4 linked regions of the Arabidopsis thaliana genome follow. The protein of the gene in region 1 interacts with the protein of each later gene in a pairwise test. Each region holds a gene or a part of one and is shown in the gene's direction. Other genes may lie near its edges. The genes, in order: HK2, AT5G42060, CUC2 and AT1G53900.

Region 1 (10,272 bases):
CTAAAACTGTTTCTGCTAATGTGGGGTGGTGGGTGGCGATAGTGATCGAATGAACTAGTTATCTTCCAATAATCTCGATCGTGAAAATTTTAATCTTTTTTGTTTCAGCACAAGACTTTTATTACGTGAAACATTACTTTCATACTTTGTTGGCAATTGTGAGTCTTCGGGTGTATAACATATCTTTAATAAAACTGTTTTCATGGCTTTATCGTAGCAACTTGACGTCCTAAGAGGGTCATTAAAAGCCGTCTATGAAGTAAAGCCGTAAATCCCAAACCGAATAATATTCTACATGTTTATATTGCTTATTGTTTTTTAATAAAAATAATTGTCTCATGCTATTATTTGTCATTTTCTATTTTGTTCTAAAGTCTAAAATATTGGTGAGATAAAAATAATAGATAATATTTTTTTTAGACTAACTAATTATCAATTGAGATCTCTTAGGTGGAATACATATTAAACAACTAAATAATATATAGGAATGAAAGAATAATGAGGTTTGATATGTACATACGACAGTAGTTCAAAAATACCAAAAAAGATCGATTAAATGAAAATAAATTGTTATTTAGGCAGAGCCGTACTTCATGTAGGAAAAAGACATTTGTCTTAGGTCATACAAAAATAAACAAATAAAATGCCACATTTATTTCTGAATTACTCAGTATTTATTTTTATTTAGCGTTTTAAGACTTTTGTTTTGGAAAGAAAACTCATCAATAACATTTATGGAAAATTTTGTTTGTTTTTCCTTTACATTAACTACTAAATCTTGTTTGTACTGAAATTGTTTCTTAAATGAGCAATATATATATATATATATATATATATATATATATATATATATATATTATTTTTCTTAACATTCAAAAAAAATCTCAAAAATAGAATGTGTGAGACTACAATTTTAGAATATGTCTTAAGCCTCTATTGACTTTGGCACGATACTGTATAAGGGTTTAGATATTGGAGTCAAACAAAAAAAAATCAAATCAAATATTTCATCCAACTCTAACTAAATAGGCATGACTAATGCAAACACAATTTAATAAAAGTTATAGGGTCATCTTTGTCTTTGCTTCGTTGGTCATCTTGAGAACACGGTAAGATCACCTCAAAATATACAATTTTGGTCAATTTCATGTATTATGTCTGGTTTCAATTTGGGTGTAGACACAATACTACAATAGCGATTCCATTACAAACACTTTAACGAAAAAATCAACTTTATTTTCTTCAATTTATTTAATTTAAGCACATATATATATATATATATATATATAAATCCTGGTTTTCTATCCTACTATATTATTTGGGAAGTACATTTTAAATATAACCTTATTTTTTGTAAGTAATTACATATGTATGCCATTAGAAATAAAATTTTAAAGAGTAAATTAATTCATTTCTTTAAAAATTAAAAAGTCAATTTAATTAATTAAATTTAACTCAAAAACGAAATACATTATTAATTTCCAAAAAAGTAACCAATTAAAATCAACAAATTAGATTTGATATCTAAATTATCATATTAATTTTTTATTAATTATTATAGTTCACCTCTCATCTTTATATGATTTTATTTTTGCAAAAAAATAATATCATCGTTATAAAAAAATAATTAGAGTTTTTTTCGCATATGCCACAATTTAAATTTAAAAAAAACAAATATAAACTGTTCAATACATGAAAAAATACTATAACGGGTCAAAAGTAGATTTAAAAAAAAATTTTACTGAGTACTGTGTTATAATTTGAATATTTATATTCAATTTCATACATATTATTTTAAAATTTATAATTTTATATACTAAAATAATTAATAACATATTAGATTTTTTAATGTGTATGATGTGATTCAATTTTTAATACAAGTTGGAAAATCCTAGAATTGACGGGTTTAAATCAATATTAATACAAGATGGTATAGTACAGGTGAAACTCTAAAATTAACAATCAAAATACAAGTATATAATTTTAAACATTAAACAATATAAATAATATCAACAAAACATATACAACTAGCAGTTTACTATACATTTAAAATCAAATAAAATAATATCATATATTTGTAATCAACTTTACAATAAAAGTTTTTAGTTTAACTAAAATATAAGCCTACCTGCTGTATAATGCAAGTTAAAATTATAAATAAGCAGATTACCATCACGATGGATGTACCTTCTCACATACACACCTATCAAAAACTTAAAACCTTTCAAAACCTCTTGGTATATTCAAATTAGGATTCTTCATTCATAGAATCATTATTCCAAGGGTTTTGGGATGTCTTATGAAATGATTTTGGCAGAAGAGGATGTAAATTTTTTTGAATAAAAGGTATTCAACAAAACATATGTTTTATTGGGATTTTTTAGATAATTAAATCAGAGAATAGGGCTGGGCATATGAGTAACCCATTCGAGTTCGGGTAGAACCCGTTCGGGTTTGGGATTAATGGGTATATGATTTACTACCTAATAGAATAATTCTAAATATTCGGTTCGGGTCGGGTCCAGTTGGGTTTGGGTCAGTTTGGATAAAAAGTTTCAGGCCCTAAAAATACTCAAAAAAATAGAAACGAGTATTTTGTATGTAGATAGTGCGTCTCTAAACAAAAAAAACTTTTAAATTTATTAAGTTTTAATAAATTTAATTATATTTGAATATATTTTACTAAATTTTGACAAATATAACAAATAATTTTGATAAACATAACAAACATAACAAAGTATACAATGTAATTTATACAAAATATTAATGCCCGTGCTATACAGCACGGGTTATGATCTAGTCCTAATATATTTTCAAAGTCAAATACAATTTTAAACAGAACTTCTTACATAAAAATAATCAGAATCATAAATGTAACTGGGAGACAAAGATACATAAACTGATAAAAAGAAATAAGATGTACATATAGAATCAAATCAATACCCACTTCTCGTAAAACCCACTCATCGTTATATTTTATACAAGATAAGATAAGACTTAAGAGTAGATGTTAAACTATGCTAATGAAGCAATTTAAAAACACCAAAAAGACCAAACAAAAAACAAATAACAATGAGTAGGTTTTAGGAGAAGCATGTATTGATTCTTGGTATAGTTGAGTTTATTTATATTTTCATTAGCCAATCACTTTTTCTAATTTAACTAAAAATGTTATAATACCTTCCCCACCTAGATGATGAGATAATCATGGACCCAAAAACCTCAGTTTTTAAAAATGTTTATTCACCAAAAGACAAAAACAATAATAATAATCAAAAGTAGAGTAAAAGAAGAGAGAAGTGACATTCTTTTTCTTTAGCTCATAATTTCTCTAACAAATGCTTCTTTTATCCAAACTCTGATCATTGAGTCCAGTTGGGTAATGAGAGACACCAGCTGGGTTTCTTTTGTTTAAGCTCACAAACATCTAAAACAGAGAAAGCTTTGTCATTTTTCTTTACCCTGAAACCATGAAAGAAGATAAAGCTTTGTCCTTTTTCTCTTTTCCGTTTCTTTACTCTCAACAATGTCTTCTTTCTCCCATTGCAACAACCACTGGGTTTGGTTCATCTTGTCCTCTTGCGTCTTAAGTAAGAAAAAAGAAAAAAGCTTTGCGTTTGGGACTATGTCACAGCTTCTTGTTCTTCTTGTGGATGGTTTCAAGAACTCAACTATGAGATTGTTGTTGATAGAGTTTTAGTTTTGGGTTTGAAGAGATCTGAATTTCTTCAGCTGAATCTGAGATTAGGAGTCGAAATGTCTATAACTTGTGAGCTCTTGAATCTTACTTCAAAGAAAGCTAAGAAGTCGTCGAGCAGTGACAAGAAATGGCTAAAGAAGCCTCTCTTCTTCCTGATTTTGTGTGGCTCTTTGGTAATTGTTTTGGTTATGTTCTTACGGTTAGGTAGAAGTCAGAAGGAGGAGACAGATTCTTGTAATGGAGAAGAGAAAGTGTTGTATAGACATCAAAATGTCACAAGAAGTGAGATTCATGATTTGGTCTCTTTGTTCTCTGATTCAGATCAGGTAATTGCATGAATTGACTTGTATTTGTTGAAATTGAGCTTTTGAATACGCACCAGATTTGCCTTAAAGTGTAACAGTTTCTCTGTATTTGTTGTAGGTAACATCCTTTGAATGTCATAAGGAATCAAGCCCTGGAATGTGGACAAACTATGGTATTACATGTTCCCTGAGTGTGCGTTCTGATAAACAAGAGACTAGAGGGCTTCCCTGGAATCTTGGCTTAGGACATTCTATCTCATCAACATCTTGTATGTGTGGTAATCTTGAACCGGTAAGATAATATTCGATTCGACAACATGTGAAGGAAATGCTTTAAGATTTGGTGTTTAGCTAGTTCTCACAAAAGTTTATTGTGAATGTGTTTGGTTATGAGTAGATTTTACAGCAACCTGAAAACCTTGAGGAAGAAAACCATGAAGAAGGGCTGGAGCAGGGTTTGTCATCGTATTTAAGAAATGCATGGTGGTGTCTAATCCTTGGTGTGTTAGTGTGCCATAAGATTTATGTATCTCATTCTAAAGCACGAGGTGAGAGGAAAGAGAAAGTACATCTGCAAGAGGCTTTAGCTCCAAAGAAGCAGCAACAACGTGCTCAGACTTCTTCTAGAGGGGCTGGAAGATGGAGGAAGAATATCCTTCTCCTTGGTATTTTAGGAGGAGTTTCCTTCTCTGTTTGGTGGTTTTGGGACACTAATGAGGAGATCATAATGAAAAGGAGGGAGACTTTGGCAAACATGTGTGACGAACGAGCACGTGTTTTACAAGATCAGTTCAATGTTAGCTTGAACCATGTTCATGCCTTGTCTATTCTTGTATCTACATTTCATCATGGTAAAATCCCATCTGCCATTGATCAGGTGATGTTTTTTTCTTACTGCTAAATACATTTTGTGTCTCAAGTTTATGTTTAAATCATCAACTTCTGTTACATTTACAGAGAACATTTGAAGAATATACTGAGAGAACAAACTTTGAGAGGCCACTTACTAGTGGTGTAGCGTATGCTTTGAAAGTCCCACACTCAGAAAGAGAGAAATTTGAAAAGGAGCATGGATGGGCAATAAAGAAAATGGAAACTGAGGACCAGACAGTTGTACAAGATTGTGTTCCTGAAAACTTTGATCCCGCACCGATTCAAGACGAATACGCGCCAGTTATATTTGCTCAAGAAACTGTTTCCCATATTGTATCGGTCGACATGATGTCTGGAGAAGTCAGTAACGTCTAAAAGTTTCTTGAACTATTTTGCCAAACCAATGTCCTTAAAAGAGAATTCAAAAGTCTAACTATTTTGCAGGAAGACCGTGAAAACATCTTACGGGCAAGGGCATCAGGAAAAGGAGTGTTAACATCTCCATTTAAGCTTCTTAAGTCAAATCATCTTGGTGTTGTGTTGACCTTTGCTGTCTATGACACGAGCCTACCGCCTGATGCTACAGAAGAACAGCGTGTTGAAGCAACTATTGGGTACTACTTCTACTTAAAATGATTCTAGGACTGAAGAAATTGAACCTATGTAACAAAGAATGATCTCTGGACCAGAAAATATTAATAAGATACACTTAAAAACAGGTACCTTGGTGCATCATATGATATGCCATCGCTGGTGGAGAAACTTCTTCACCAACTTGCCAGCAAACAGACAATTGCTGTGGATGTTTACGACACAACTAACACTTCAGGTCTAATAAAAATGTATGGCTCAGAAATTGGGGATATAAGTGAGCAGCATATAAGTAGCCTTGATTTTGGTGATCCATCAAGGAACCATGAGATGCATTGCAGGTTAGTTAGCTCTAACTGTTATGGTACATTTTTATAAGATATGTTTCACTTCTCTGTTTTCTGAAGTATGAAAGTGGCATTTTTCATTTACAGGTTTAAGCATAAACTTCCCATTCCCTGGACAGCGATAACACCGTCGATCTTAGTTCTGGTTATTACTTTTCTTGTTGGTTATATTTTATATGAAGCCATCAACCGAATTGCGACAGTTGAAGAGGATTGTCAGAAGATGAGGGAACTCAAAGCTCGTGCTGAGGCCGCTGACATTGCAAAGTCACAGGTGATCTTTGTGAATCATATAGTCTCAAAAGCTTTACTTGTTTTTTCACTGAAATGCTTCTTATTTTGCAGTTCCTAGCAACTGTTTCTCATGAGATACGGACTCCGATGAATGGAGTTTTAGGTACTTTTTCTACTTATCCTTGGTCAATATTGCATGTTCTCTTAAAATCAGCTGAAACGTTTAAGCATTTTGTTACAGGAATGCTGAAAATGCTGATGGACACCGATCTTGATGCGAAGCAGATGGACTATGCGCAAACTGCTCATGGCAGTGGGAAGGATCTTACATCACTAATAAATGAGGTTCTTGATCAGGCAAAGATTGAATCCGGAAGGCTCGAGCTTGAAAATGTGCCTTTTGATATGCGTTTTATTCTTGATAATGTTTCATCTCTCCTCTCTGGCAAGGCAAATGAAAAAGGAATTGAGGTATAATTATAAACTGCATGACCTTCTACTTTCTTAATGTTTTCATATGGCAAACAAATTCCATATGTAATGAAATGTTGACTTCTTGTTACAGTTGGCCGTTTATGTTTCTAGTCAAGTTCCTGATGTTGTAGTCGGTGATCCGAGTCGGTTCCGGCAGATCATTACAAACCTGGTTGGAAACTCAATCAAAGTAATTTACTCCTTACTTCTTACAGAACAACAGGCTTCACGAATCTCTACTATTACAGTACTCATTTGTTATTTACTTAATAACAGTTCACACAGGAAAGGGGACACATATTTATCTCAGTGCACCTTGCAGATGAGGTAAAGGAGCCTCTTACTATTGAAGACGCAGTGCTAAAACAGCGACTAGCTTTAGGATGCAGCGAGTCCGGTGAGACAGTTAGCGGGTTTCCTGCGGTAAATGCATGGGGAAGCTGGAAGAATTTCAAGACATGTTACAGTACTGAGAGTCAGAATTCTGATCAAATCAAATTGCTAGTTACAGTGGAGGACACTGGAGTTGGCATACCTGTGGATGCACAAGGCCGAATCTTCACACCTTTTATGCAAGCCGACAGTTCCACATCGCGGACTTATGGTGGAACTGGCATAGGTTTGAGTATAAGCAAACGTTTGGTTGAACTCATGCAAGGAGAGATGGGGTTTGTGAGTGAGCCCGGGATAGGCAGTACTTTTTCATTTACTGGAGTTTTCGGGAAAGCAGAAACAAATACGTCGATTACTAAGCTGGAACGATTCGATCTAGCTATTCAGGAGTTTACAGGATTGAGAGCATTAGTTATTGATAACAGAAACATTAGAGCAGAGGTCACCAGGTACGAACTTCGGAGACTGGGAATATCTGCAGACATTGTTTCAAGTCTGAGAATGGCATGCACTTGTTGTATCAGGTACTTTACGTACATTAGTGTCTGTCTGTCTTTAGAGATTATAGTGAGTTCACTAAAAGCGTTTTATTGTTCTGGAATCTTTGCAGCAAATTAGAAAATTTGGCTATGATTCTAATAGACAAAGACGCCTGGAACAAGGAAGAATTTTCAGTACTTGACGAGTTGTTTACCCGAAGCAAAGTAACCTTTACAAGAGTCCCAAAGATTTTTCTTTTGGCAACTTCTGCAACTCTTACTGAGCGCAGTGAGATGAAGTCTACTGGTCTCATCGATGAGGTGGTGATAAAGCCTCTTCGGATGAGTGTCTTAATATGTTGCTTGCAAGAAACCCTTGTCAATGGCAAGAAGAGGCAACCGAACAGACAGCGAAGAAATCTTGGACACTTGCTAAGAGAAAAACAGATTCTGGTTGTGGATGATAATCTTGTGAACAGACGAGTTGCAGAAGGTGCACTTAAGAAATATGGAGCTATTGTTACATGCGTTGAGAGTGGCAAAGCTGCATTGGCAATGCTTAAGCCGCCTCATAACTTCGATGCTTGCTTCATGGATCTCCAGATGCCTGAAATGGATGGGTAGATAACTATTTTTCAATCTTATCTCTTCAGCTTGTTCATTTCTTGGATGTCGTCCTTGGTAACTTTATAATTTTTTGCGCAGATTTGAAGCGACAAGGAGAGTCCGTGAGCTGGAGAGGGAAATCAATAAGAAAATAGCTTCTGGAGAAGTTTCAGCTGAAATGTTCTGTAAATTTAGTAGTTGGCACGTCCCGATATTAGCAATGACAGCAGATGTTATTCAGGCTACTCATGAAGAATGCATGAAATGTGGAATGGATGGTTATGTATCAAAACCGTTTGAAGAGGAAGTGCTCTACACAGCGGTAGCAAGATTCTTTGAACCTTGTTAAAAGAAAAAGCCATTTCCCTTGTAGGATTATATATCAACCCGAGAGCTTTTTGACATCGGGTAGTATATCTTGAACATCCATGACCTGCAATTCAACTTGAGATCAAGGCAAGAACCAGTTCATTGTCAATTTTTCTTCACAGGTCTCTTTCAGCTTAAGACCTCGTCTGGTTGAGTGAGAAAAACTGCGAAAACCGATCTTTCTCTTTGTATAGACACTTTGTCTTCATTGATCTCTGCCTGTGTGTATAGTAGATTCCTAGGGTATAGCTCCATTATATTCATTTTATATATATATAAACCCAAACTCTGTCCTCTTAACTATGAAACAGCTTGTATATTGTGTAGTAATAGTAATGGCTCTTGATTACATGATAGGAAGCGTATAAATGACAGTGTGTTCTGAAAAGCTTCCAGAAGCAGAACAAAATCTTCCTCAAAAGTCAAAACCAATGCAGATCTGGCACATGATTGCATCTGAAGCAAACCAAGATTCCCTAGTCATAGATCTTGAACTTTTGGACTAATGATTCTTTCTAACTAGTATAAAGGGTATCAAGTTGCACTCATTTCCTTAGCTCCCAAACTTCCTAACTAGATAGATCAGATCTGGATCTCTCTGCACCACTCATTGCCTTCTCTAGAAACATGTCAACTTTCTTGATAAGGATACTTCTTCCTTTGCTTATCATAGCAATGACTCTTCCTCGACGTTCAGGTAAAAACACCACTGCAATGTTCATACTATGTCCCTTTTTTGGCCTTATGCAGATGTATGTGAGTGTATGTTTAAGCAGAGGCAGAGTCGGAACAATGGTGCATAGCGGATGAACAAACGCCAGACGATGAGTTGCAAGCAGCCTTAGACTGGGCTTGCGGAAAAGGTGGAGCAGACTGCAGCAAAATGCAGCAGGAAAACCAGCCTTGCTTCTTGCCTAACACAATCAGAGATCATGCCTCCTTTGCTTTCAACAGTTACTACCAAACTTATAAAAACAAAGGTGGTTCTTGTTACTTCAAAGGAGCTGCCATGATCACTGAGCTTGACCCCAGTAAGCTTTCTCCTCTCTCTCTTTCTCCCTTGAATCTTAGTAGATAGTGAACCATCTGTTTCTGATCCAGCTATGATTGTGACAGGCCATGGTTCTTGCCAGTATGAGTATAACCCCTGATTCAAACGACACAGCAAAGACAAGATACAGCAAGATGAAAAGCTATGATTTTGCATTTATACGTTTTCTCTATGTAATGTTTTCATTCCAAAGCAGTATCCATGTACTGTTCTCCCATTACACTCCAGTCTGAGATAAAAATTTCTTCAACAACCTGCTTTTACTGTGCATTGAGATTTTCTACAGTATCGAATATACATCAATCTGGTACTATTGCTCAATCTAGAGTACTTAACATGTAGTCACAGACTCGCAGTAATAGGCTGATTCCATTTCTGTTTAGAATACGTTGTTATCACACAGTGCTACCATATAACAACATTGGTTCATTCTGTTCATGGAAGTGAAAGAACAAGTGTCTCCATGAATGTAATGGAAATACATACTTGAATCAAGTCATATACAGTATAGGAGCTATCGATATACTACAGAGATCCATCAACATCAACTTTGTCTTTACAAGTTCTCCTCTTATTTAAATCCACCTAATGTAGGTGGCTATATAATAATGGACTAACTAAACTGGTGCGGCCAAAACAATTAACTATACAGTCAACTAATAATTTACCCTGCCCTTGTACTAATCTATGTTAATAAGCCTTAAACCTGCAACAAAATGTTTAGCGTTGTACAGACACTGTTCTCACCGCATTCTCCTGACAAGCTATGCTTTGGTGTTCTGATTGTGGCATGTCCTGATTGGCAGCTAGGTCTTTGGTTTCATCTGATTCTCCTATTATTTACTCCAAA
Region 2 (5,081 bases), 2.9 Mb from region 1:
TGACACCGTATGAACTCTTTACTTTCATCTCTAAAAAGATGTATCAAAAACCTAACACAAAACAATAAGCTTCTCTCTCCGTTTTTTTTTTTTTCTATGGTTAAATATTAGGTTCATGCTATCTTAAAGGATCTGGTTCACAAGTCTGTGAATGAAACTGTGGTACGTTCTTTTTTCTTTTAGTAATATATATATATATATATATATCTCCAACAACTAGTACTTTTGTACAATGTTATAGACGGTTTGAACATGTGCAGGAACTAAAACAATACCCAGCTCTGAGAGTGGAGGTGACAAATGCGGCGATAGAGTCGCTGGATAAAATGCGGGAAGGAAGTAAGAAAGCAACACTGCAGCTGGTTGACATGGAGTGCAGTTACCTCACTGTTGATTTCTTCAGGAAACTTCCCCAGGATGTTGAGAAGGGTGGTAACCCCACACACTCCATTTTCGACCGCTACAACGATTCCTATCTCAGACGAATCGGTAAGGTTAACCCATATAAATAAATAATTATCTGGTACCGTATATCTCACAAATTTTAGACATTTGGCAACAGGATCCAATGTTTTGTCTTACGTGAACATGGTCTGTGCTGGCCTGCGGAATTCAATCCCCAAGTCCATCGTATACTGCCAAGTCCGAGAAGCGAAGCGCAGTCTCCTCGACCATTTCTTTGCGGAGCTCGGTACCATGGATGTAAGTGCTCTCTGCCTTTTTTCTTAACCTAAAGAAGTGTCATTCGGGTAAACACTGAGTCAACTAATATGGTGATATCCAACAGATGAAGAGGCTCTCGTCGCTATTGAACGAAGATCCAGCAATCATGGAGAGACGCAGTGCCATCTCAAAGCGGCTAGAATTGTATCGAGCAGCCCAATCCGAGATCGATGCTGTTGCTTGGTCCAAGTGATACCGGCATGTCATGTCCACTGTTTTGCTCGGTTCTGGTCGGTGTGGCTCAGACTCGGAGCAGAGATTTAGGGTCTGTAATTTGTATAAGATGATCTTCCCGATACCATGCAGTATCGTTTTATATAACATCCACATTGTTTGTCCTACCTCTATGTTTTTTGTCCATCACCCGATATGTTACGTATCGTTTTATAACATCCACATTGTTTGTCCTGCCTCTAATGTTTTTTGTCCATCACCCGATATGTTACGTATCTTTTATAACATCCACATAGATTAGATTTTCTCTATTCCCTTTATTTAATTACTATAAAATGTATTTTTCGCATATGATAATTTTTCTGTAACAATAGTATAATATTAAACATTCTACCCAAAAAAAGAGTATAATATTTAAATATGATTACCAATAAGAAAAAAATTCTAATAGTTTAAAATAAAAATTTGTAATGTACTCTTTTTTATTTTGTTTTGCGTTTCTGAATTTGTGGCCATTATCTTCTCACACTCTCTTCTCTTAGCTCACAGAGGAAAGAAAAATGGCGAATTCCATTTCATCAATATCTCTGCCTCGATGTTTCATCTTCAACAATGGTAGTCACAAATCAAGGCCATGGCCAAGCTCAAGCAGTTTCTTTCTCAACAAATCATCAAAGCATCATCCTCATCCACTACTCTCTCTTTCTTCTTCGCCGTCTTCCGTCGTAGAAACTGATAATGACGACGACAACGACCTCACTTTCAGGTACCCTTTTGCTTCTCTTCATCGATTCCATTGGAAAGCTTAAACCTTTCTCAGCTAATCCAATTTCGTTGACATTAAGGATTTTAGAGTTAGTGATAGATTAGGGATTGCGTAAATGATGAAATCATAGAGACTCTTTTCTGCTGTTAACTTGTTAGTGTTATATGAATCTTCAATTTTGTTACACTAGTGAATCTCTTAAAATGATTCTCTACAATAACTAACCTCATAAATTTCTTTGTGGTCTCATGTTGGCTTGAGCGATTGGTTATATTGTCATTTGTGAATTGTGATGGATCCATCTCTCTATAGTCAATAGATCATAACATGAGGAATGAAACAGTGGTTGCAGAGCGTGTGGGAAAGAAGAGAAAGAGAGTGGGTGTAATGGTGACGGACGGATTCAAGGTGGCATTGCAACTGTCCCCGGTTTCGGTTGGTGGCCAATTAAGGCTTACAGGCCTTGTCCCGCGTTTGTTGAGGCCGGAGGTAGATACCGCCGCATAGGGCAGAGCATGGACGAGGTTGCATTTGGTCGTGGTGACTCTAAATCCTCCACTTCTGTAGACACCAGTGATTCACTACTACGGTATGTTAATGCCTAGTATTATTTATATACACTTACAATCAACAATGAAACAAATTGGACCGCAACAAAAACCGTCTTTTGGCATGTACAAGAATGTCAAAATGGGTTTGAGAACCTTGCAGAGTAATGATGATCATGTTCTTCTCTCTTTGTTTGTTTTGCAGCCAGACAAAGCCAACAAGTTCTAGCAAAAGTTCAAACAAGTGATATATAGCCCAGTTTTTCAAGTCCAAGAAGAACTTTTTTTGGAAATGTGTAATGATGATTGGGCCTAAACATATTATCGGCCCATTTATAATTTTACGGCTCAATAGTTAAGAAACCCTAAAGAAGGTTTTATCACTCGTAAGAAAAAACAAAACAAAAACCCTTTGGTTTCTCTCTGTCGGCGAGACATCATCAATGGAGGAAGTAGCGAGAGAAGAAGTAGAGATCGACAAGGATCTGCGGAGGAAAATAAAGAAGACGGTGAAGAAGATCTTGGAAAGTTCGAACTTGTACAAGATAACAGAGATTAAGGCGCGAGAAGAAGCTTCACTTAAATTGGATCTTGATCTGTCTCAAGATCCTTACAAGGTAATCGTGAAAGAAGAAGTTGAAAATTTCCTCGAAGAAGCAGTAAAGTTGATCGGCAATAAACTTGCGATGCTTCCCAAGAGAATAGAGTCGACGAGTATTTAGATATTATTAATCTAAAAGTATGTCGATCCAAAATTGGATAGTTTTAATGTAATTTCCTCAAAGATTGTCTCTGTTTGTTTTTTTAATAGTGTTTCTGGTTCATGGAAGCTAATGTTTTTGTCCGATATGAAACATGTGTCTAAGCAATAAGACAATGTGTCTGAGGAATTTGAGCTCTTGCAAGAAAATTTGCAGGACACCTCTTCAAACTTGGCTTGCCAAGTCCTAATGTGTCGAATTCAGTTACAGATTCTGAAGTTGATGGCACTATTTTTTGTTCAGGAAAAGAGATACTTGTCTGTTATTACCTTGGAAACACACCTTTCGATAGCCTTTGCTCCAGCAGCTGAATATTGCAAATAATAGATTAGAGCTTGTAATTCGCTTTCCAATGGATTGTTGACTGTGTTTTATACTGATCAGACCGTGGGTTAGCAAGATTCCAACCATCAGGTTTGCACACATCAGGAATGGTAGCATTAACGGCAACTATCAAGCTTCTTGTCCCGTCGTTACCAATAAATTTGATGAGTGGACCAAAGGCGGTCCAGTTATCAAACCAAAAGCTACCAATGTTACACCTGATAAATTTCTCAGCCAACACTCTCAAGTCTCAACCTTAGAATACACTTCTAGTTCCATGAATCAGCAACCCTTTCAGGGTTCCAAAAGCTTGTAGTTTTGTTGCAATTGTTATGCACTATTATTACCAGTTCGTATAAAATATACATAAATGCCGATAATCTATATAAAAAAAAAAGAAGGTTAATCTTAATTGGTGAACAAGTGGCTGATTGGTCCAAACACAAAGTCAGCAAAAGTTTCAGCCCATCGAATACAAAGCCAACGTGCACCGTTAAAGCGTGGCACAATCTGGTCCGCGTAATTAGCGTCGAGACGAGTCCATGTGTTTGTTTCCACTAAGCGTGAACGCATATTTCAAAACAAAGACCAATTCAAAGTCTTCTTCATCTCCCCCACATTAATATCTCCAGTCTCCATTTACCTACGCCACGTCGTGAGATTTTCTTTTAAGTTGTGGATCTATTTCTGACATTTTCTCCTATGGTTTATAACAAAACTAATGCCGACGAACAAAAATTAAATATTTTGATGTTTTGATGTTAACACTTTTATTGTACACTTTTTCTTAACGTGCTTTTCTCTAATCACTTTTGCTGCTTCAACTAATCTTTCCCACATTTTTTTTCCCCCAAACCATTGCCTTCTGTTCTGGATTCATTTTAATTACTTGTTGGAGAAGTTTGTTGTTTGTTACAACAAATCTTTCATGAAGTGGCCGGTTTATTCCGACTAGTATAAATGAAATTCAAGATAGAATTGGGCAAGAAGTGAATAGGAGCAATAATAAAAATATCAAACACAAATTGATAAGAGTTCATCATCTCATTTCTCCCTATTTTTGGGGTTGTACATATGTTATTTTATATAATTTACAAAAAGAAAAAAGCGCGGAGATGAGATCTATTCTTCATCCACCCACACAAAAATAGCACATCTTCTATTTATCCCATATCTCCTGGGAATATACTTAAGAAAGAAACTGTATAAACTAGTAAAATACCATTTCTTCAGACAATTATTATTAATACTCCTCCTTATAATCATATATGTATAATGGGGTATCTCTCTCTTTCTGGATTTGAAGTAACAAACCACTGTTTTGTGTTCTTCATTGGTATTACCCAATTCAAGGGTTTTGGTCAGCAAAAATGTCCAATAGAGAAAGCACCTGCCAAAAACACAACCAAAGCGTTAGACTTTGAATGTAAGAAAAAAAAGTGGTTGTGAACTAAAGAAGATGAAAAAAACGTACCTCAGGGACACTGAGTTCGAGTCGGAACTTAGGACCGTCGTAGTGGTGCAAAATGGGTCGGAAAGAATCTTCTTCCAGTGGCAAACATACTTTCCTCGTTATGGCCCTCACCTTTATTTTTATTACCCCAAAAAATTTGTTAGCATTTAGACAAAAGCAAGAGCTCAAAGAAACGCAAGAAAGTAAGTACATAGTAGTACCTGAGCAGGGAAACGAGATTCGCCAGGACATTTCTTGTCTTCAAAAGCATTCAACTCAATGTTTGTTCCTCCGAAGCTAGCTGCCTCGTAGATTCCATGAAGTTGGTGAGT
Region 3 (6,811 bases), 8.0 Mb from region 1:
TGAAGAGTGAAGACGCGAACAAGTTGCAAAAAAAAAGGAAAAAAATAGAGAGACGTTGCATCAACAGCTAGGTTTTAGGTGTAAGGCTATCAAAGGGGACCAAGAAAAAAAACACACCAAAGAAGTGTCTCGTAAGAAACTAAAGGGTAAAAAAAAGTGAAAATCACAAATCTGTTCACATTTTTTGAAACAATATATAAAAGAAGTGTCCAACATTCAAGACCGAGAAGGAGAAGCACCTCCTTCATCAAATACGACGGTGATTCACTCAGATGGATCAGCATTTCCTTTGTTTTCTCCTCAGGAAATCATTAGCATTGTGGTCGACTAGAGGAAGAGTTAAGAGATGAAGAAGAAGAAAGAATAATCAATGCCTATACACTAAATTAGTTTAACTTAGACGATCTTTACTTATTATCTGATATTCTGATTATTTGATAAAGAAGTTCAAATTCGACGTTTCTTACACAATTGCCTTTAATCTAAATATATATCATAAATTAAGATATTTACAGTATACAATTATTTATACATTACAGAAAACAGAGTCCATGTAGCCATATAATGCTATATTAACTGCTCTTCTCCTTACCTACTCTTCGACTGCTTGAGCTTGACCATCGAGATAACAAATAATTTGGTTTTTGTTTTGGGAAAGTCTATCTGAAGTAAGATCCTCTTTCGAACCATAAAAATTACAAATATGTATTATCAAAAAAATGTTGACCACAAAAAGAAATTAAACATAGATTGGGCTATTAGTTTACTCAAGTGAGTAGGTCACAAGGGAATATCTACTGTTTCTTAATACTGTGTTAACCTCCTGCATTTATAATGCTATCATTATTTATTTTATTGGGTTCTCTTACGTCAAATAGTTTATTATTGGCATTTGTTCATTTGCTTTTTGCAGTTATTAAAAAAAGATGATATGCGGTATTACCAAACATTTTAGAAAATAAATAAAAGTTTTGTAATAAATGATTGATAAAACAACAACGAATTTTATGGTAGGACATATGTTTTTCTGTAGAGAAAAACAAATCCATTTTGGTGTTCGAAAGCAGCCATAAATTTCAGATCAATAGAAAAATATAAACAATTTGGAAAAGAAATTGAAAAATAAAATAAAGAGGATGATATGTATATAGAATATCAAACACTCTACTATTGTGTTAATTAATCAAAAGGGGATAAATGTGGTATTTAAAGTGTCAAAAATATAGCATAAATGGAATGAAGGTGATAGAAAGTAGGGAGTGTGCATTTTAACCTTGAAAAAGTACGGATATTAGATATTTAAAGTCATAAGAATATTTTTCTCGTTATGAAAAAAATGCTAAGCAAACAAACAAATTAACCGTGAAAAATATATGTTTAAATTAAGATAAAGTAAAGCAAATTTCTAAAATTTGGCAAGGTCAATATCAACATTGTAATCTGTTTGGCCATTGTTTTCAGTTTAAGACAATTAACACTTTGGCACACTAGAATGTATTCAAAACTTCATAAATTCAAGTAATTACAATTATATAATGTTATTGCTTCGGTTCATAGCTTGGTGATAATCTTTTACTTCAACTATCTGTAATTAAGACAGGAAAGGATCTTATTAATTAGATTTAGTTACTGTCATATGCAGATATGTCTAAAAAGACGTATAGATAGACCTACAATTTCTAGATAGTAATAAATACTACTATTAAACAGTAGTAGCAGGTGTAATAGTCTTAGCATGTCTCTGATAATGATTTTTAATGTATAATTATTACTTTGCATACTTTATAACATCTTCTTTTTTTTAACTAATAGTTACACACATGATAAGTCCGTAGATATGAATACTCGAAGGGGAGAGTTATTTTGATTTAAGTTTATACAATTTTTTCATACGGTTAAAATAGTCAATAAGTCTGTAGTTAATTTATTAGTAGAAATTGATCAACTCACTATCTTTTTAGTTTGATCTTAAGGTCTTTACATTTTTGGGTGTGTCTTTTATTCTTTAGTTTATTCTTTAGTACATTTTTGGGTGGGAAATTTTAAAAAACAAGTCATGTCAAATAGGGCTAAAATTGAAGTTCCACTAAAATAAATAATTTGTATGAGATAATAATCAAAATATTGGAAGTAACAGAAATAAATTAACAATTGTGAAATTTACGTTTAGTCATGTCATTTTGGTGGACCTGTAACAATCAACATAATTGATAATTAGTTATTTGATGAGCCATAATTAATTTATATAAAAAAGGAGAAAAAACAGACTTGAGATAGTAATTAAGAAAACTACAAAACCAGGCAGCATAAATATCTTCTCTGATTTGCAACCTGTAACTTCTTGATTAAATTATTTTTCAATCTTACATCATAAATCTCGTTGCTTGAAAATAATGAAATTTAATTTTCTTTTGCTGAGTCTTACAAATGAATATGAAGCAATGAAAAGTAACTAAAAATCCATCACAGGAGTAAAAAATTGGAAAATGGAAAAGATGAAACAAAAACGAAAAGAAAATCAAGGAAAAAAAAAAGAGAGGTGAAAGGTGTAGAAGGTGGTGGCGTGTAGTAACGAAGTCTCTGTCAAAGTTTTTGATAAATTAATCATGTACTGTGCTGACACTCCAAGATTTGAAACAGCCTTATCGATATAATATCCATTTTTCTATTAAAAATAAAAATTGAAACTCTTCACTTTCCAAATAACTAGTGTATATGTCTAATAATGTATCCCTCACTATACTACTATTGTTTCGATTAGTCATTGTACGTATAATAAATTATTATGTATCCCAATTTCCAAACACAATAATAAAAAGAAATTTCAAGTTCGTAGATAAAAAAAAAGATACAATCTGAATCCTCTCTTTTATTTTCATCACTGACAGAGAATACCACTGCACTTTTTCTCATGCACGCACGCATACTCAGATAGAAACAAGAGCCCATTCCTCGTTTCTTTAATAATTTAATTCAAAGAAATACGGACACTTCATGATTAATTTTAATTTTGTAATTTTAAAACAATCTCGAGTTATGTAAAAAATATATCGATAAACTCAAAAATGTGATGTAATAATCTGCTTTGGCTTTGCTCTCTTTACTACAAGACAAGGCAGAGAAAACCACAGATTCCTATGAAAGAGTAGACGTACCTGTCTTTTTATTATTACTAAATTTATAATTATCTTCTCTACGACTTTCTGGTTTTTAATCTTTTAATAATTATTTTACTTTCACTACCCCAAAAAAAAAGCTTCCCTCTATTTCGCCGTTTTAGATTTACCAAATCCCAATGTATAAAAAAAATAAACTAATAAAACCAAAAAATAATATCCATCCACATTATTACCACGCCCCTTACTCAAGAACCATCCATTATATTAACCTATTTATCTTCTTCTTCAAAACATTTGAGTCTCCTTAGGGTTTTTTCTCTCTCAAACAAAAGCTTTAGATCTTTCTTCTTAATGGACATTCCGTATTACCACTACGACCATGGCGGAGACAGCCAATATCTTCCACCGGGTTTCAGGTTTCATCCCACGGACGAAGAGCTCATCACTCATTACCTTCTCCGCAAAGTCCTCGACGGTTGCTTCTCAAGCCGTGCCATCGCAGAAGTTGATCTCAACAAGTGTGAGCCTTGGCAACTTCCCGGTAAGAAAATACAAAACTAACTTACTTGTAGTTCTTTTGTAATTAAGGTTTCTGAAATCTTTACTCTCAATGTTACTTAGGGAGAGCTAAGATGGGAGAGAAAGAATGGTACTTCTTTAGCCTCCGTGACCGGAAGTATCCGACGGGACTGAGAACTAACAGAGCAACTGAGGCTGGTTACTGGAAAGCTACCGGAAAAGACAGAGAGATCTTTAGTTCAAAGACTTGTGCACTTGTTGGGATGAAGAAGACTCTTGTCTTTTACAAAGGAAGAGCTCCGAAAGGAGAGAAGAGTAATTGGGTTATGCATGAATATCGTCTTGAAGGCAAATTCTCTTACCATTTCATCTCAAGAAGCTCCAAGGTACTTCGATTTAACCTTTCATTAGTTATTTTGTTGATAAAGTAAAGCCTTAATTTTCTTTGATTAATAAATTTACAATCTATTATTTGGAAAAAAAATTCGAGAGTGTGACATAGTCGGTGACGTTGATTTTTTTCTCTTTTGCTTTATTGCATTTAATTTTGATGGCTGAAAAGGCATGGTTCTTTACTGTGGTTATCTGAGAGCATTATGGAACATGAAATAGAAAAGATCTGCTGTTTTTATGTATTGGGATTTCAATCATAATGGTGTTTTCCTAAAGTAAGAAAACATTCAATAGCTCTGATAAAATAAAATATTAATACATCCTACTTTTGGAAAGCTTAATGCAAAAAACCAGAACCAATGCAAATCTTCAGGATTTTTTTCTGACCTAGATATATTAAAAAGAAATTTAATTAAATTAATTTTACTTAATTAGTGTTCCATATCCATTGTAGACTTGTAGTGTCCAATGTACATTCCCTCTGTGCACGCTTTTACTCTATGGTTTTTCTTAATCTTCACTCTCTTTTATTTCCAAGATCTAACATTGACTTTCTCATCAAACATATATTATATAAAATATTTGACTTTTCAAAACTCTAATTTATTCCTTCAGGATGAATGGGTGATCTCTAGGGTTTTCCAGAAAACCACTTTAGCTAGCACCGGAGCCGTCTCCGAAGGAGGAGGAGGAGGAGGAGCAACTGTGAGCGTAAGCAGCGGTACTGGTCCATCTAAAAAGACGAAAGTACCCTCAACAATCTCAAGAAACTATCAAGAACAACCAAGCTCTCCTTCCTCCGTCTCACTCCCACCTCTCCTGGATCCGACCACTACCCTCGGCTACACCGACAGCAGTTGCTCCTACGACAGCCGTAGCACCAACACAACCGTCACAGCCAGCGCAATAACCGAGCACGTGTCCTGTTTCTCCACTGTCCCTACTACTACTACGGCCTTGGGCTTAGACGTTAACTCATTCAGCCGTCTTCCACCGCCGCTAGGGTTTGACTTTGACCCTTTTCCTCGTTTCGTTTCTAGAAACGTCTCGACTCAATCTAACTTCAGATCGTTCCAAGAAAACTTCAATCAATTTCCTTACTTTGGATCGTCTTCTGCATCGACTATGACCTCCGCCGTTAATCTGCCTTCTTTCCAAGGCGGCGGAGGCGTCTCCGGGATGAATTACTGGCTACCGGCGACTGCCGAAGAGAATGAGTCAAAGGTCGGTGTGCTTCATGCTGGACTTGACTGTATTTGGAACTACTGATCACAAAAGAGGTGACTTATAATTGTTCCCGTTAGGGTTTTATTTATGTATTTCTAGGATGATTATGGTATTATGAAATGTGTGTACCGAGGAGCTTAATATTGCACTTAGCTTGATGTTCCGCTTAATTCTCTAGTTTTAAGTTTATCCGGTTGTGTTAATTAGGAGGTAATATGCAAGGAAAATGTTTTCTAGACTATGAACGTGCATATGTATAAGCTATGCTCGTTTTTGTAATGTTTGACATTATGTTAATTTCATGGCTTTTTCATGTTTTATATTTCTCATGATATTTGACATGTGTCCTTGGTTATCAATACAATCATACAGTATATTACCGACAAAATGAATTTCTTCGGTCGCTTCTAGATACCTTAGTTTTCTTCTTGTTAATACAATTTGATATGGCGGTTATATATATGTTTCCGGAATTCAACCGTTCCGAATCTTCGGTTAGATGATTTCCGTAATTACATAACATGGCTAATTATTTAATTTCTTCATCAATTGAAGATGCTCAAATGTAAAACATGCATGTAGTTTTTGTTTATTAATTCTAGCTAATTAAGGTTGACATGTGTAACTGCCAAAATATTTCAAGAAAGTTTCATGCTTTTAAAGTAAGTACTCATAATTCAGTGGATTAATCAGTCTATGAACACCATTTTCAGTTAGGTGTATCTTCTTGCTACAATCGTACACATATGAGACTAAACACAACAATTTGCGTTTGGCTTAATTGATTAAGATAACATGCATGTACATGGTAGTTACTGAAAATAATTTACATACTAATTTTGATTAACTTAATGCATTGTAAACCCACCAAAGAAAAGAAGTAGTTTTGAAATTAAGGATTTTGAAACGGGGATGATGAATATGATGCGCATGCTGACGAACGGACCACTCCCAAATTCAGATCTTGTACAACAGTCCACCTCACTTTCAGAAGGATGGCTTTCACATTTCTATTTTTAGAAAGAGACATAATTAATAATACCTCTGTTTATTACCATTATATATGTGTTTTCATTTCACGTGTGTATACTAGTAGGAGTATGATATATGTATGTGTGTAACACAACCATCATCATCATCATCATCATTACCATCATCAATTATTGCTCTTGTTGCATCACCAACCTATACTACCTAGTCATAAGACAAATTCACAGACTCACATATACGTCTTGCTAAATGGCAAAATTTCATGATGTTTTAGCTAAAGGAATATATGTACACATTTGTATGCTTATTATTTTGGGTTTCATTGGTTACATTTGCAATCACAAAACAAACTAAGGCAAATGGTATTGGTTCAAAAAACATTGACCAACATATATATATATATATATATAAGAAAAAACCCAGCTATTTACACAAAAGAACAGCTAAGTGATGATAAGAACTGACTAATTTTATCACACTATGTATATATAAAAAAGCAGAAAATTCAGCTGGCCTGACTTAAAAAATAAAAATCTTAAACCAAAAGTTACTATATTTTATTA
Region 4 (8,081 bases), on another chromosome or scaffold:
GCAAAATTTTGTTTACTTTACGTCAAAAGGTAATACTAAACATTTCATCAATGTTTTCTAAGAATTTATAAGTTCCTATAATTATTATTTTATTTTACCTTGCAAGTTCATTTTTGTTGTGTGCATGTATATATATAGAAACTGGGATTCTTCAAATCTTGGGAAGGATATAACTCAACCGGGACCAGATTTCGACTAAGAAAGATTTTCAAGATTTTGCCAAGAGAATCATCTTCGTCTTACAAAGTTGTAATGGGATCACGCATAGTTGATGGTGATCAACAATCTTGTTATAAGATTGTAAATCGTGGATCAGTTTTCGCAATCAAGGATGGATCGGGAAGATTAATGGCAGAAGTTAAAAACAAACTATCGGATATTAGTGGTTTGGATCTTGGAGATGATGTTTTGACAATGATGGTGGAGCCACAACTAGATCATTCTTTAATAATGGGTATTGTTATAGCTTATAAACTTACCAAATGTAAATTGTGATAATCAGGTGGTAATCTTGAAGGTAAGCATGTTTTAAAGCTAATTAAACGTTGGCATAAACCCCAAATATCTGGCTTGAAATTGGATATTGAAAAGATTGCACCAGAATGCGGAGAAGCTCGGCATCGTTCATCCTCATAAAAGTCAAAACAACCAATCAGTTCTCTCTTTTTTTATATTTTGGTATGGAAACCTAATTCTCTTACTTAATATTCAATCCATTCTTTTCCTCCAACTTCTTCGTAAATGGCGGATGAAACTATAACCCTGTTTCAGCTTATTGCCAAACCCGAACCGCGCACCATGGAATAGTACTGATCCAACGAGTATGTTTGAACAAGCTCAAGCTGCCATTCAATCATCGCTATCATGACCGTGATTACTCGTTTTCCCGGTCGTGAGAAGACCCTTTAAGCGTGATTTTTATACGGATGTATGTTTTACTAATACTAGTACCAATTCCACAACATAAACCAAAAGTGTTTTGAAATTAGGGTCATGTTTCTGTTAACAATATCTTTAACTAGCTGAGTTAACCATAATTGAATTACTAAAATATTTATCAAACTGAATTAAATAGATTTGGATGGTAATTTAGTCAGCAGAAAGAATTGGAATTGGTGAAGAAGATAATAGACTAATAGTAAAGGGGTCATGGAAGTTATACGAATGCATGAAAAGATAATAGAGATATCAATCATACGATTTTATTAAACTAAAGGACCATGTGATCAGATTGTAATTTGTAATAGCAGAATGAGCCATCTCATATTCCATACATGGTTTTAAATAGGCTTGTCCATTTCGGTACTGTTCATATACTGTATGTTCCAATTTTTATCCCATATTTGTGTGTTTAAAAAAAATAAAAATAGCTACTTGAAATTGTTTATAGAATGAGATATATATATGTATTATTCGTTTGGTTATTCAGCTTTTATAAAATTAATGAAAATCATCTAAATATGTAAGTTTTTCAGAAATACCCGTATCGAAAGTGACCTTTAATTTAACCGTCCCGACATCAAGCCTTACCCAAATTAGTAAGAATTTGAATAATAAATTTTGCTACTTAAATTTCTTGAACTCGTTCCGCGACCCAAAATTCTCGTCCCTATCTTATCGAAAATTGTCATGAATGTTTTTTGTTATGTGAATTACTTGCTCTCGATTTATGTGTTATTTTACTGTCCTGATATCAAGATGTACACGCCTAGTTTTAAGTGGCAACAACATATAATTTCTTACGCATGTTTCAATTTTCAAACACAAAAAAAACGTAACCTGTGACACTTTGACATTATTTTTTGGGTATGCGAATGAATTGAAATTAATTTATAGTGTTCTAGAGAATAAAAGAAAGTGCCCTAAAAGAAATGATATCAAATTTATTTGCAAATACAAAGAAAAAAAAAAACACAATTTTTGCAAATATAAACAATAGCTTTTACAGTTAATCTTCCTGTCAAAACATTCTTTTGTGCAGTATCATTCCGATAAACTGTCAGCATTGGACAACGGATAGAACACAAATGGAATGGACCACAACTGAAGACCGATTCTAAGCCTAGCAACTAATAATTTGAAGTTATCTTATTATATTGTATGAACAGTTTTTTCAATATTTTTTGCTCTATTAATCGAATCTCACAATCACATTAGTCACGTTACAACGACCAGACATGTAGTAACAAACAAAAAGGACCATACATTTTTTTTTGTTTAACAAAAACGACCATACATGTTATCGCTACATGATTTTCTCTGTTATTTTTATTTTGTATCTCACATTGAACATGTGGACGAAGACCTTCGTATATATATATTTTCTAATGACACACCAAAAACTGAATTACTACTACTAGTAGAAAGTATATATAAATGCGAAGAAGACATATAACTATCATTCAGAGCCAAACATAAAAAAAAATCAATACATATGCAAATATATAGCAACAACCGAACGATGAGGACCAAATTTTCACTTAATCTGATTTCTCCGGCGAAGAACATGGTGAAGATTCATCCTGACAAGGCGTTTCCTGTGGATTTTAGCGTGGGAGAAGGCAAGACTTCGCCGTACTTAACGACGGAGAAAGAGAGTTTCACGATTTGGATGAGATCTCTTGTGTTTCATAGTAAAGGCTGCACAGTTTTTGATTCCAAAGGAAACTTAATCTATCGAGTGGATAATTATAACTCCAAGAGTTGTAGTGAAGTTTACCTTATGGACTTATACGGCAAAATCTTGTTTACATTACGTCAAAAGGTAAACAATAAAACATATCATCTTATGTTCTTATAGTTTTCTTAAAAGTATTTTGTTCTAACTCTTTTATTTTCTTGGTTATAGAAATTGGGATTATTCAAATCTTGGAAAGGATATAACTCAACCGGGACAAGATTTCAACTAAGAAAAAACTTCAAGATATTGCCAAAGGGTTCATCTTCATCATACAAAGTTGTAATGGGATCGCGTATAGTTGATGGTGATCATCAATCTTGTTATAAGATTGTAAAACGCAAATCGGTTTTCACAATCGAGGATGGATCAGGAAGATTATTGGCAGAAGTTAAAAAGAAACAATCAAATATCAAAAGTTTAGATCTTGGGAAAGATGTATTAACAATGATGGTGGAGCCACAAGTAGATCACTCTTTAATAATGGGTATTGTTATAGCATATAGTCTTCTCAAATGTAAATTGTGATAATTAGTAGGGGTGAGATTGAACTATTGTGTAAACTTTAGGGTCGTAAATGTAAATATACAATTTTGGAGAGCCAAATGATAATATTATTGTTAATGAAGTTCTTAAAGCTAAATTAAATGTTATTACAGGCATGAGGCATAAACCCCAAAGTCTCTAGCTTGAAACTGAGATTTTCGAAGAATTCATCAAAATGTGGAGAGAATCGGCTTCGTTTATCCTCGATAAGCATCAGAACAACAAACCCATTTCTCTAACTCATTCAATTGATTCTCCTCCACCACCATCTGCTTCAATGGCGGATGAAAACCCTAACCCTAATCCTATTTCGGCTTATTACCAAACCAGAGCGGCGCATCATGGAATTGTGACTAGCGAGTGGTTGGAGCAGGCTCAAGCCGCGGTTCGACGTTACCCTGATCGTGATTCCTTAGTTTCGGGAAGACCCTTTAGCGTGATTGAGGACTTTAATAGTTGGAGACAGCAACCTGATTTGGCGGAGGCTGTTGCGGCGATTCGTGCTCTTGCGGCTGTTATTAGGGCTAGTGAAGCTACTACTATGATGGAACTTGAAATTGAACTCAAGAAAGCTTCTGATACTCTGAAAGTAAGAGACTTTCTTCTTTGTGTTGAAATTTGGGTTCTGAATTTTGGATGACTCTGTATTGTGATTCAATCTTTAACGAACTCTTAGCATTGAGTATTTTGGTTCATGCCCTGACGATAACTTAGGATTAGCTTGCGGCGTAAATGGTAGATGTGATCATCATCGTGGCATTGCATTGACTTGTCGAGTTGTGAATTTTGCTTGGCATTATATGTCCGAGTAATCTCTGCATTGTGGATTTTATTGATGGTGTTAAGAATCTCTGGTTGCTCTATTTGGAAAGATAGGTTGAAAGTTTAATCTTTTTGGATATCTTGATGCTGATGCTTCTGGTTTTACTTCACTTCTTCTGTGATGCTATACTTCTTTGAAATATTCTGTTTGTTTTGAAATGAGCAATTGGTTGTTTCCTTTGATTTGAGTGTCAGATTGTACATTTGAGTCCTGCTCAAATCGTAGCTTTCAGTTTTTAATGAACATGCTATTAGTTTGCAACTTAGCATTGATTATTTTGACAAAAAATCAGGTTTAGTTTGTGTCAAAATGGTAGATGTGATTATGGCATTGCATTGACTTGTAGAGTTCTGAATTGTACTTGGCATTTCTGCGAGTTTCTTGATCGCTAAGACTCTCTGGTGGCTCTAAAGGGAAAGATAGGTTGAAAGTTTTATCTTTCCTGGATGATGTGTTTATGGTTTTAATTTACATCTTCTATGATGCTATACTTCTTTGAAATATTATGTCTCTATGGAAATTGGTAGCTGATGGATTTCGTTAGTCCTGAGTGTCAGATGGTATTATTTGAGTAGCTTTCAGTGTTTTCGAGGTAGAACTCTAAAAATGTAAGATTGTCTTCATGTTTCAGTCATGGGACACAACGTCGATATCCTTAACAGCGGGATGTGATCTATTCATGCGCTATGTGACTCGAACATCTGCTTTAGAATTTGAGGACTTCAACTCTGCGAAATCCCGTGTGCTTGAACGTGCTGAGAAATTTGGGGAAATATCTTGCAAGGTCAGTGTTCTCTTCGAACGGGAATTGTTTACATAAATAGTTAGTAGAAGAAGAGTTTGAACAGTAACTGGAAATTTTGCAGGCCCGAACGATAATTGCAATGCTTAGTCAAGATTTCATATTTGATGGGTGTACTATTCTGGTCCATGGTTTCTCCAGAGTTGTGTTTGAAATACTAAAGACATCAGCGCAAAACAAGAAACTCTTTCGAGTGTTGTGCACAGGTACTTTTCTTAAGACTTAGAGATCAATTGGATATGACATCTTCCAGTTATCTCATTCTGATTTTCCTAACTGACAATCACATTTCCGTTGCATCCGTGGAAACAAAATACAGAGGGAAGGCCAGATAAAACAGGTGTACTGCTAGCTAACGAGCTTGCAAAACTTGATATTCCTGTGAAGCTTCTGATCGATTCAGCCGTGGCCTATAGCATGGATGAAGTAGACATGGTGTTTGTTGGAGCTGATGGAGTAGTTGAAAGTGGCGGGATAATTAACATGATGGGAACTTACCAAATCGCCCTAGTCGCACAGAGTATGAATAAACCAGTCTATGTAGCTGCAGAGAGTTACAAGGTAACCTCCCAAAACTTTAAAAGTTTTAAAAACTTGATTGCAAAAACATCAATGATCCATCATCTTCTTTCTTGTTTTCTTGCAAGCGAAGTTTGCACGGCTCTACCCGTTGGATCAAAAGGACTTAGAACCAGCCTTGCGACCTATTGATTTCAGTGTTCCTGTTCCTCCTAAGGTTGAGGTAGAAAGATCTGCAAGGGACTACACTCCTCCTCAGTACTTGACTCTACTCTTCACTGATCTTGGTGTTCTCACTCCATCTGTAGTAAGTGACGAGCTTATTCAGCTTTACTTGTAAGTGAAGCTGTCTAATTCCTATAGCTGGTCTGAAATCTCTCATTTTTTGTATAAAAATAAAAACAAAAACACCATATTTTTGGCTATACACAGACATAGTTTGTCTCTGATTCTTACTGCTAATGCACATTTTTTTTGGTAGTAGCGAGATCTTTGTGACTTGTCATCTTTACTCAAAATTTATCACCCAAGTTTCAATATATAGTTACTAGTATATATTATAGTATGATCATTTCTGGTTTTTGATTTCTTGATTAGAGATATGTATTGCTATATTGTTTTATTATTGTTAGAATCATTTGTGTTTTTTTGCAAAAGTATATATATCCTTTTAACACTTTAAAATGTTTGCACAAAAAAAAAAATGGTATGGTATGCGCTGGATATTGAAAAGTTGCAATTATTGCAGTGTAGTGATAAATGACCTATAATGTAACATGGAATATCATATGATTTGATGTTTTGAAAATGAGAGCATGAGAAACGTGATAGAATTAAAGATGGTAAATTCTTAGTATTATTTTAATGCTTGGTCTAAGTAACTACTCCCTCTGTTTCATAATATAAGTTGTTTTGGAACAATTTTTTTGTTTTACTATATAAGTTGTTTTCAAGTTTCTATACAAATTATATATTATTTTAATATTTTATGATTATTTATGTTATGTAGTCTCTTTTGTGATTAGTAGAATTTTTTAAAAGTAAATATTTTTAATTTGCGTGTTTTTATTTAAAACAATTTATATTGTAAAACAGATGGAATATTATTATAGGCTATAGGCCTATAGCTAATGTTTGGATCTAACTGCTAACGTTGTAAGATTCATAAAACACCGGCCACTTACAATCCCACGTTTTTTTTAAAAATATTACGTTCTTTCCTGGAATTACCCATATACACGTTTTTTTTGTTATCTTCGTGCTCAACTGTTTACAAAAGTATACTGTATTCGGGAAGGTGAAAAAAGATAAAATTATTTCGGAACATCTAATATACTAACACAATAAATGAAATTAAAAATATATTTGTAAAGACATTAAAGATGGCAAATATATCTGTCCACACCACATTTTAATTCTTTTTTATATCATTAGTCTATAACATTTGATTAAGTTTCACGTTTTAGAAAAGTGATTATGTATAAACTAAAAATATAAATAGATTACTTTACAACAAACTTTTTTTTAGCATTTTACATTTGTTCATTTAACAACAACTATAACATATTGAATTCGAGTTTTTTTTTCCTTTTCCCAATCATTCCATTGAATGTATGAGTTTAGGTCTTAGGGTTATTTTCTGATGAATAGCAAAAGTAGTAATTCCCGACAAGAAATTGGCCAATGTCGAAAAAGTCAAATTCCACATTTTAATTGAGACATAAAAGACACATCACTCAATACAGTAAAATATCTACTTTTATATATTCCCAAAAACCATTCGGCTTCTGCTTCCACTTCATCTCTCTCTCTCTCTCCCTTCTCACATTTCTCTCCACTCAGATTTCCAATTCCTAAAGATAGAGAGAATGACTAAAATCTCTGTTGGATTGCAACTTGTGACAAGAGATTCGAGGGAAAAACTAAACAATATAGTGATCAAATCTTCACTGAGACTAAACCGATCCAATCCAAACATCTCGGAGCTTTGTTTCCTTAAAACATGTCATCTCTGCAATAAACAACTCCATCAAGACAAAGATGTTTACATGTACAGGTACGATATTTTTTTTTTTTTATTACTATATTATATACTCTTTGTAAACGAAAGATGTTCTGTTCTTGATTCTCAATTTTTTTTTTTTGTTGAAAACAGAGGAGATTTGGGATTTTGTAGTAGAGAGTGCAGAGAAAGTCAGATGTTGATTGATGATAGAAAAGAACTAGAGGCTTCGACGAAGATGATGTTGGCTTCGTACAGACGATGTAATAACGGCGCCGGAAAAAGCGAGTCTCGGAATTTGTTTGATGATCTCCGGCGACGACGTCAATTATTTATAGTTCCTTGAGGCTTCTTTAAGCAATATCTAATTATAGTTTTTTTGGTTACACATCTTATGAAAGTTATTAGTAAAAGAAAGAGAATTAAATTGTATCTCCGGTTGTCATTTTTCAAAATCTTAAATGTTAATTGGACAGTTTATGTGGTGATCTCATTCTCAGGTGGTTTAATTACTGATTTAGTAAAAATGCTCATTAATTAGTTAGGTTAATTGTAGCTGTTGACCAAAAATAAAGATTACTTGTAGTCACACGTTAATTAGTGAGATAATTAAATGATACAAAGTGTCATATGAGATATGACTCATATTTCATAACTAAATCTGATTAATTCGAAGAACATTTTAATATTCAGATTGGATCGTGACATGATG

Evidence for each region.
Region 2: the proteins of HK2 (region 1) and AT5G42060 interact in a two-hybrid assay, tested with the Arabidopsis thaliana proteins (one large-scale study listed by BioGRID).
Region 3: the proteins of HK2 (region 1) and CUC2 interact in a two-hybrid assay, tested with the Arabidopsis thaliana proteins (one large-scale study listed by BioGRID).
Region 4: the proteins of HK2 (region 1) and AT1G53900 interact in a two-hybrid assay, tested with the Arabidopsis thaliana proteins (one large-scale study listed by BioGRID).

Annotation. Positions count from the first base shown.
Region 1 is NC_003076.8:13,909,822-13,920,093, reverse strand, and holds HK2 (histidine kinase 2), read left to right. Parts: upstream 1-3,288; 5' UTR 3,289-3,756; coding exon 3,757-4,026; intron 4,027-4,123; coding exon 4,124-4,297; intron 4,298-4,402; coding exon 4,403-4,882; intron 4,883-4,962; coding exon 4,963-5,238; intron 5,239-5,322; coding exon 5,323-5,492; intron 5,493-5,597; coding exon 5,598-5,810; intron 5,811-5,903; coding exon 5,904-6,090; intron 6,091-6,161; coding exon 6,162-6,213; intron 6,214-6,291; coding exon 6,292-6,521; intron 6,522-6,615; coding exon 6,616-6,714; intron 6,715-6,800; coding exon 6,801-7,441; intron 7,442-7,527; coding exon 7,528-8,016; intron 8,017-8,101; coding exon 8,102-8,351; 3' UTR 8,352-8,811; downstream 8,812-10,272. Other genes in the region: AT5G35740 (Carbohydrate-binding X8 domain superfamily protein), read left to right, coding at 8,999-9,068, 9,148-9,402, 9,488-9,522. UniProt on the Arabidopsis thaliana protein: Cytokinins (CK) receptor related to bacterial two-component regulators. Functions as a histidine kinase and transmits the stress signal to a downstream MAPK cascade.
Region 2 is NC_003076.8:16,816,496-16,821,576, reverse strand, and holds AT5G42060 (DEK, chromatin associated protein), read left to right. Parts: upstream 1-2,621; 5' UTR 2,622-2,654; coding exon 2,655-2,933; 3' UTR 2,934-3,189; downstream 3,190-5,081. Other genes in the region: DL1 (dynamin-like protein), read left to right, coding at 1-7, 112-162, 261-489, 563-702, 788-916; AT5G42070 (uncharacterized protein), read left to right, coding at 1,458-1,663, 2,007-2,252, 2,417-2,459; AT5G42053 (uncharacterized protein), read right to left, coding at 3,705-3,869; AT5G42050 (DCD (Development and Cell Death) domain protein), read right to left, coding at 4,645-4,686, 4,771-4,881, 4,971-5,081.
Region 3 is NC_003076.8:21,900,455-21,907,265, reverse strand, and holds CUC2 (NAC (No Apical Meristem) domain transcriptional regulator superfamily protein), read left to right. Parts: upstream 1-3,411; 5' UTR 3,412-3,470; coding exon 3,471-3,660; intron 3,661-3,740; coding exon 3,741-4,024; intron 4,025-4,646; coding exon 4,647-5,300; 3' UTR 5,301-5,562; downstream 5,563-6,811.
Region 4 is NC_003070.9:20,125,128-20,133,208, forward strand, and holds AT1G53900 (Eukaryotic translation initiation factor 2B (eIF-2B) family protein), read left to right. Parts: upstream 1-2,417; 5' UTR 2,418-2,434; coding exon 2,435-2,764; intron 2,765-2,848; coding exon 2,849-3,142; intron 3,143-3,365; coding exon 3,366-3,812; intron 3,813-4,677; coding exon 4,678-4,830; intron 4,831-4,912; coding exon 4,913-5,054; intron 5,055-5,167; coding exon 5,168-5,409; intron 5,410-5,500; coding exon 5,501-5,707; 3' UTR 5,708-5,923; downstream 5,924-8,081. Other genes in the region: AT1G53890 (LURP-one-like protein (DUF567)), read left to right, coding at 1-21, 167-420, 503-517, 602-678, 772-868; AT1G53903 (linoleate 9S-lipoxygenase-4 protein, putative (DUF581)), read left to right, coding at 7,236-7,423, 7,523-7,715.